Linked DNA regions of Rattus norvegicus. The protein of the gene in region 1 purifies or fractionates together with the protein of each later gene. This does not show direct contact. Links are inferred from orthologs where the notes say so. Each region holds a gene or a part of one and is shown on either strand. Other genes may lie near its edges. The genes, in order: Acvr2b and Inhba.

Region 1 (3,808 bases):
TCCCGCTGGTTACCCCACGGAGCCCGGGCCCAGGAGAATGTTCGCTCCCGCTCCCCGCAGGCAGAGCTGCTCATCTTGGAACACTGGAACTCAAGTCAAATAAACACAAAGCCCAAACACAGAGCTTTGTCCAACGTTTCCCAGTTGAGCCACAGAGGGGACAAGAAGGAGGAAAGGGCCTACCATATTTCCCACAACCTCAGGGATATGTCCCTAGAACCCAGGGAACATGGTAGCCTTCCCTCCTCACGCCGAGGCAGGTTCCCTTCACGTACCCCTGTTGACTCCAGAACCCAGCTCCCTCACCGGATGTTTCAGCCAGTGATCCTTAATGGTGGGCCTCATCTTCTTGTGGACAACCACCTCCTGAAGCTCCTCCAGTGAAGGGTGTTGGCCAATCTCTTCCTCGAAAGGCAGCATGTACTCATCGACAGGCCCTGAGTGACGGGTGGGGGCTCTGATGGAATCACAAGGCCCAGCTCCAAGCCCCCAGCCCAGGGTGCCCATAGCCAACAAACCACTCACCATCTGCGGCCTTGCAACGAGAAACGAGCTCCCACAGCACCAGGCCCATGGCGTACATGTCGATACGCAGGAAGGCGTCTCTCTGGAAGTTGATGGCCCCCTCCAGCACCTCGGGGGCCATGTACCGTCTGGTGCCAACCTACAGGAAGACAAAGGACAGGATCTCCAGAGACCAGCTGTACTCAAATGCAGTTGGCTGGGAGAAGCAATGAGCACCAGGCTGGGTAAGACTGGAATTCTGAGCACGAAGCGTTGGAGCTGAAGCCCTGGTCCGTCCCTTTGAAGCAGGGTTATGATTCTATCTGACAGTAACTGATGGACTGGAGGCAGTGCTTGTTAGACAGCTGTGCAGCCCTGGAACATCTCAAACAGGCTACTCTGAGGCTTTTTCCTCCAACGGTGCCTAAAGTAAAGCCAGACACTCGGAAGGCTGAGGCAGGAGAACTAAAAGTCCCAGACCAACCTGAACGACACAGAGACAGACCCTCTAACAGATAAAGAGGCGGCTTAGCTCCTAAGGCACCAGCCACTCAAGTGTGAAGACAGAAGTTTGGATATCGAGAAGCCACATAAATGTGGCAACAGCAGCACAGGGAGGGGACGATGGCGTCCCCAGAGAAAGCTGGCTAGACTACCTGATAACCAGCAAAGGACCCAGTATTAATCGACAAGGCTTAAGGTGATCAAGGAAGATGCCCAGTGGCTACCCCAGGCCTCCAAACCCAGACAAGCAACTCGTGTGGAAACGGGAATACACAGGTTAAATAAACAATGAAGCAACAGTCAAAAGGCCGAAGAAGAATGTGGAGAACTCGTTTAAACCACAGGGAGACTCCCCCAGGATGACTGCTGGCTTAATTTTCATGGCCTTTTCTACACGTTTGGCTGGGATTCTCAGCACCCTTTCTTTCCTCTTTAATCTCGCTTAATGACTACAACTGAGGGCAGGCAGGAGCCTCTGTGGTAAAGGCTTGCTGCAAGCCACACGACCCAAGTTCAAGCCAAGGAACCCACATGCTGGAAAAAAACCTGACTCTCTTACACAACACACACACACACACACACACACACACACACAACGTCTTTTGGGAAAATAAAATAAAATTACAACAGAAAGAGAAAGACTGAAATACCAGGACGAGCTGCCGAAGCCCAAATGAAGCCTGGATCCCTCAGCCGGGTGGCTGGAGGAAGCCTCGCCAACCTCTCTATTGGTGAGTTAAGAACCTAGTTCCCAAGTTCCCACGTAGCTCTGCAGTCACCCCAGCTGAGCCCAGAGCTCTGTGCCAGCCTCTCCTCCCACTGCCCAGGTTCCTTACCTGCCCATGGGTATCCCCTGGAGGCTTCCCCGGCTCAAACCGAACAGCCAGGCCAAAGTCAGCCAGCACCGCGGTGAGGTCGCTCTTCAGCAGAACATTCTTGCTTTTGAAGTCCCTGAGCAGACCAAGAGCAAACTGTCACACAGGTTCAAGACCCGGCCCACCCTGAGATGGCTGATCTCGATCCTCCTCCCACCCTGCCTCTCAAATTACTAGAGTCCATGACCTGTAGCTCCTGGGTCAAACCATCCCCACCTCTGTGGGGCAGGAGACGAACGGCTTGGGAGTTCAGGGGCCCATACAGCAGGTCCCACTCTGGCAGCTGGGTAAGACCCTATACCACAGCACTAGAAGCTGGCCCATAAATCTCACAGGGCATGGCACACAAATCTTACAATGTTTGGAATGTGAACAAGAATATAGAGTCAGCTTGCTAAAGCCGCACAGGCAGGGCAGTGCTCGAGTGGTGCAGGCAGTCCACTCTGCCTAGACTAGAAAAACCAAAACCGAACCAACCAAACAACAGCGTGGCTCAGAAATCCTAAAAGATCCTAATCCAGAGCTCCGTGAAGTTAGGCACTGGTAATTGACTACCGTTTGCCCTTTTAAATCTCATCGGTATAGAGTGGGGCTCCCCAGGGGAATAGTGGACAGCTGATGTTATCGTGGCGACACATAAAACACGTGTGCTCTGTGCTAGCAACCATCAGCAAACATGGACATAAAAGGTTCTGGACCACAATCTGAGAATTTGAAGAGCCAGCTCTCCAGAGTCAGCACTTTCTCCTGTGCCCAGCAGAGGGCGCAAGAGCACTGGCCTGGAGAGCTAGCTGTCTCCAGCTACGGGAGAGCAGGGTTTACTGGGACGCAGCACAGGCACATTCAAGGAAGCAGAGCCATGCTCTACAGCAGGGAGGGCTCCTTAACCAGGTACCTGTGGGCAATAGAAGGCTTGTGGCCCTCGCCACGACACCACGGCACATCCTCATGCAGGTACGAGAGGCCTCGTGACATCGTCTCTGCCACATGACACAGCTCGTTCCACGTGATGATGTTCCCCTTGAGGTAATCCGTGAGGGAGCCCTAAGAGAAGGCAGCCGACTGTGGGCAAAGGCTCCAAATGCAGAACAGGGTGCAACCCAACCCAGGCCCAGCGGGAATGTCCTGGTGCAAGCGTGCAGAGGGGACCGAGGTGCGGCTGACACGGGGGTCGACTCATGGCAAAGCCACCGTTGGGACCTCCCTGTCCACCCCGGGGCCTTGCTGGGGTGTAGCTCACCTTGTCGTGGAAGGCTGTGATGAGCCACAGCTCCACCTCCAGGTTGGAGCCTCGTTTCTCTGCAGCAATGAACTGCAGGAGGTTTTCGTGCTTCATGCCCGGTGTGCTGAAGATCTCCCGCTCACTCTGCCACGACTGCTTGTCCTGAGGTAGGGAGGCGGCTCAGCCCTGCCACAGGACAGCCACCCCAACATGCCCTACTTCATCCCCACCACTGGTCTCCTGGCCTCCACATGCACGAGGAGAGCCAGGCCGGCAGCAGTCTCTGGGGGAGCTGATGCCAGCGCCCTGATTTACAAACGCTGAGTGAGGTGCCCAGCCAGTATCAGCCAGCAAGTGCTCGACTCCTCAAGCACCCTGGGCGACTAAGTCCAGGCTTGCCAGGTGTCAGGAGCCTCTGAGTAGACCATAACGTCAACTACCAAACTCGGGGACCGAGGAGGGGCTCCGGGAGGCTAAGGGCCTGCCAGGCAAAAGCATGAGGACCCAAGTTCAGATCCCCAGACCCCTATACAGAGTTTAACCCCAGTGCTGGAAGCAGGAAGATGGGGAAGGCAAACAGGGGAGGATACCTGGTGCTTGCCAACTCCTCTACCAAACCAGTCAGTCCCAGGCTAAGTGAGAGACCTTGTCTCAAAAGAACTTTAAAGGGTAGAAGCCTAGAGAGGTGGCTCTGAGGTTAGGA
Region 2 (3,908 bases), on another chromosome or scaffold:
ATCCGGCACACAAAACAACATATCTGGTCATATGGCTTTTATTAGCTCCCGATTTTGCACATTTTATCCGACTTGTCATGAGAACCTGGCCAGTGCTTCAGCTGTACTCTTTCCTGAGAACAAGAGCCCCTCTTTACTGTGCTTATCGGAGCATTCCTTCTCTCTATGTTATCTCACTGCCAGTGTGACCCAGGCCAAAGAAAATCCTAACCTAACTTTCCTTCTATTTTAAGGAGCGTTCACTTCTTTTCATTAAACTCGTATTTATAGTGTTTACAAATGATAGGGCTTGATGTTCAAGCTTTTAAAGAAAAGATGCATTTTGCGTGTGTGTGTGTGTGTGTGTGTGTGTGTGTGCTATTGTTGTTTTTGCTAGTTAGGATGGGACTCTAAAGACCTAGGCATAATACTTATGAAGTTCACTTGCAGAAGAAGAGCATTTTCCAAGTCTGAGGTGAGAAATGGTATATGAAGCCGGCATTCGATTTAAAGGTGTAATTAATAGTGTGAGTCAAAGCAGGGCGACCACGGACATACAGATTTTCCTCAAGAAAATAGTTTACTGTAGTCATAATTATAAAACTAGAATCCCTATGAAGAACACTATGACTTTTCTTTGCTGTGGCAAAAGTACGGTGCTTTGCAAATAGGAGTAGTTTTATGAAGTAACAGATGTTTTATGTGTAGACATAAAGCCAAGGCTGATTCTAGTAAGAAGTGGGTATGAATAGTAACCTGTCAGAGCTGGACACTCTTGGAGATGTGTGTACTCGGTTCTCTTATGTTTGTAAAGGGTGGACTATTCCTAGCCACAGGCTTCACTGGCTCAATGCATCACCCAGGTCGTGTCTCAGAAGCCAAGAGAGATTTCCATTAGATAGTGAATTATGAAATGTCTCACACTGGAAAAACGAGTCATCTGCTGATGTCATGCTGATTCTAACCAATCCTAAACAAAGCCCCAGCCCTCCTCTTTGAGAGGTACCAATGTGTGAGTGTACAACTAAGTACTACAGTATAAAACTTCACAGTGCCAATACCATGAAGAGGAACTCAGACAGCTCTGACCTCATGAGACAAGAGCCGGCTGGCAAAACAGAAGGGACCCGAAAGGTAATGCTTTTAAATTCTTGCTTTCGAGTTCTCTACACATTAAAAGTCAGTGTGGCTAAAAGGACTTTTACAACTTTTTGGCACCTCCATAGGCATTGTAATTTGTATCGTTTTTCTATTGTGCAAGCAGGTTAATACTGTTTTTTAATAGTCCTAGAGCATGCAAATAGATTATGTGTTTATACAACCCACTCAGCACACATATACAAGTACATATGCCAAAAAGAAAGCTATTTTTAAGAGTTCCATTTGCAAACAGTAAATCCAGGGAACACACACATATTCACATGCAGAGAGAATCCAAACATTGATAAGTTGCTGTTATCCAAATGCTACTATTAGGACTCTTGAGTTGTTTAGAGTCATTAAACTTTTAGCTCTATGTTAGTCTGTCTTGTAAAACTTAACTGTGCTACAAAATGCTTCGGGTTCTGTATCTGTAACTCCAAATAGGTGGGTGATGTTATTAGAACACAAAGATGTTCTCCTAAACCATTGTGATGCCAGTGTTCCTACTTCCCTCAGGTTTTTTTTTTAATGAGAGTTTTGTTTTAGGTAATATGGACAGTCTTACCAACAACAGCAGTGTCCTTGGTGTTTCTGGAGGTGGGAGTCCTCCTAGCCCTGCAGAGGTGTCAGAGGGCTTATAACCAAGAAAGTCTTGTGCATTGCTGCTTTGGGGAAAGATAGCATTTGTGTTGTTCAGGAAGCATTGTTACCTGTCAAAACTGGAAGTTTAACCTAGTGTCATGCTTATCTGAACTTCTTCTCCTTGTATGTAGATCTTATGCTTGTAGTTTTGACCCCTATTAACTCTGTCCTCATGACCTGCTTTGCTAGCCTAGAATACTCTGAACACAGCGGGTGTCAGGCAGAAGGGATTGAATGTATCTGCAGAAACCAGCGGGCTTATATGTAGGGAAGAAACTGAGAAAGAAGGACTGCTATAACAGATGGACACCTTAAAGATCTTCTGCACAAGACAGAACGAAAAGGTGGTGTGAAGAATTAAAAAGAAGCCTCAGAAAGGCATTGTTTTAAGTGCACATTTGTCTCGTTCTCTGAATACTGTAATCCTCAATGAACTCGGCTCTGCTGGTACTTTGAAGAGAAACAACACAGCCAGGCAGCCTGCCTTGAATGCTACACTATGGTCAAGGCTGGCGAGGGGAGGTGGGCAGCAGAACAACAAAAGTAGTGCATGCCAGAGAAAAAGAATTTCCTGGTATATTTTAGAGATTCTTGCCCTCTAGGCTAGTTACATTGTAAGAGTACATTGTTTTTCATGAAAGGATGTGAGAAAGACCAAATGAATTTTGTGCTTTATCAGTGAAGCCAGGACAATGGGCAGTGGGCTATAATTTCTGAGTATATGTGCATCCAGGGTAGAGAAAGGAGATGCAGGGGGCAGGGTGTGTGTGAGAGTACCTTCCCTGTGTATGTAAATTGCTGCTTGCCCAAGGGAGCTTCCAATGCCCTGTTGTGGTGCCCACTTGGCAAAAGCAGAGTGTATTATATGACCCCAGACAAAAGTTGTGTTGCGCTCCAGGTCCCATAAGATCGCCTGCTGGCATAAGGACCCTGGACATTTAAATATGAATGAATGGCAGAAAGGAATGGTTCTGGATTCTGTCAGGCAGAACAACCAGCTGTCTCAGGCAGCCCCTCTGCCTCAGCCCCAGCCCCCAACCAATCTGAGGACTTCCCTCAGACCCATATCAAGGTCAGGTGGGTGCTTACTCCAGGGAAGTACAAGACCATGGGAGATGACTTGGTGCCACTTTCCTATCTAGTTATCTCAGTGAATGGAAACAGTGCATTTAATTTCCTTGGACTCCCCCGCCCCCCAAAGAAGAAAGGTGAGGCAAGAAAAAGGTTTGAGCAGAGAAAGTTGAAAAGAAAAAAAAAGTACAAAATAAAGAAAGAAACCCCCAGACTAAAAGTGAACAGAATTAGGAGAATTTATTGTAGAAAGGACGGAAGAGTCCCCATCCCCCCCAGAGAATGGTAGGATTGGGAGAGAGGTGTGTGTGAGGGAGCAAGGAGCAGCGGGAGGCAGCCTGTCAGAAACGGGCTGTCCCTCCTCCCTAGTCACAGCTCATACTCACAGGCGCCCTGCCTCCTCCCTCTCCCATTCACTCACTCACATAGGACCAATCCGCCTCTCTCTCTCTCTCTCTCTCTCTCTCTCTCTCTCTCTCTCTCTCTCTCTCCCTTCCTCCCTCCCTCTCAGTCCCTCCCTCCCCTCCCCCTCCTTCTCTTTCTTTCTCTCTCCCTCCCCCTCCCTTGCTGTCCCTCTCTTTCTCCCCCTTTCCCTGTCTTCTTTCCCCCTCTCTCCCTTTTCCCTGTCTCTCCCTCCCATCCTCTCTCAGTCTCTGTCTCCCCCCACCCTGTCTCTTCCTTCCTCCCTCCCTCTCTCCCTCCCTCCCTCTCTCCCTCCCTCCTTCCTTCTCTTTTACTCGGAGACAGTCAGAACTCTCCTCCCTGACAGCCACAAACCTACAGCACTGACTGCATTCAGAGAGGGAACCTGCAAACAAAACTTCACAGAAAACTTTTTGCTCTTGTTCCAGAGAATTTGCTGAAGAGGAGAAGGAAAAAAAAAGTCCAAAAAACCTGTACGTGAGGGGTGGGGAGGAAAAGCAGGGCCTTTAAAGAAGGCAACCACACGACTTTTGCTGCCAGGATGCCCTTGCTTTGGCTGAGAGGATTTCTGTTGGCAAGTTGCTGGATTATAGTGAGGAGTTCCCCCACCCCAGGATCCGAGGGGCACGGCGCAGCCCCGGACTGCCCGT

Evidence for each region.
Region 2: the proteins of Acvr2b (region 1) and Inhba purify together in Homo sapiens (affinity purification with western blotting; 3 studies listed by BioGRID and IntAct, with this or other methods). This does not show direct contact. The link is inferred for Rattus norvegicus from reciprocal best matches to the Homo sapiens genes ACVR2B and INHBA.

What each region holds. Positions count from the first base shown.
Region 1 is NC_086026.1:128,043,962-128,047,769, reverse strand, and holds part of Acvr2b (activin receptor type-2B precursor), read right to left. Parts: intron 3,268-3,808; coding exon 3,124-3,267; intron 2,928-3,123; coding exon 2,779-2,927; intron 1,960-2,778; coding exon 1,845-1,959; intron 665-1,844; coding exon 526-664; intron 438-525; coding exon 307-437; intron 1-306. UniProt on the Homo sapiens protein: Transmembrane serine/threonine kinase activin type-2 receptor forming an activin receptor complex with activin type-1 serine/threonine kinase receptors (ACVR1, ACVR1B or ACVR1c).
Region 2 is NC_086035.1:53,801,657-53,805,564, reverse strand, and holds the start of Inhba (inhibin beta A chain preproprotein), read left to right. Parts: upstream 1-1,056; 5' UTR 1,057-1,113; intron 1,114-3,686; 5' UTR 3,687-3,799; coding exon 3,800-3,908. UniProt on the Homo sapiens protein: Inhibins/activins are involved in regulating a number of diverse functions such as hypothalamic and pituitary hormone secretion, gonadal hormone secretion, germ cell development and maturation, erythroid differentiation, insulin secretion, nerve cell survival, embryonic axial development or bone growth, depending on their subunit composition.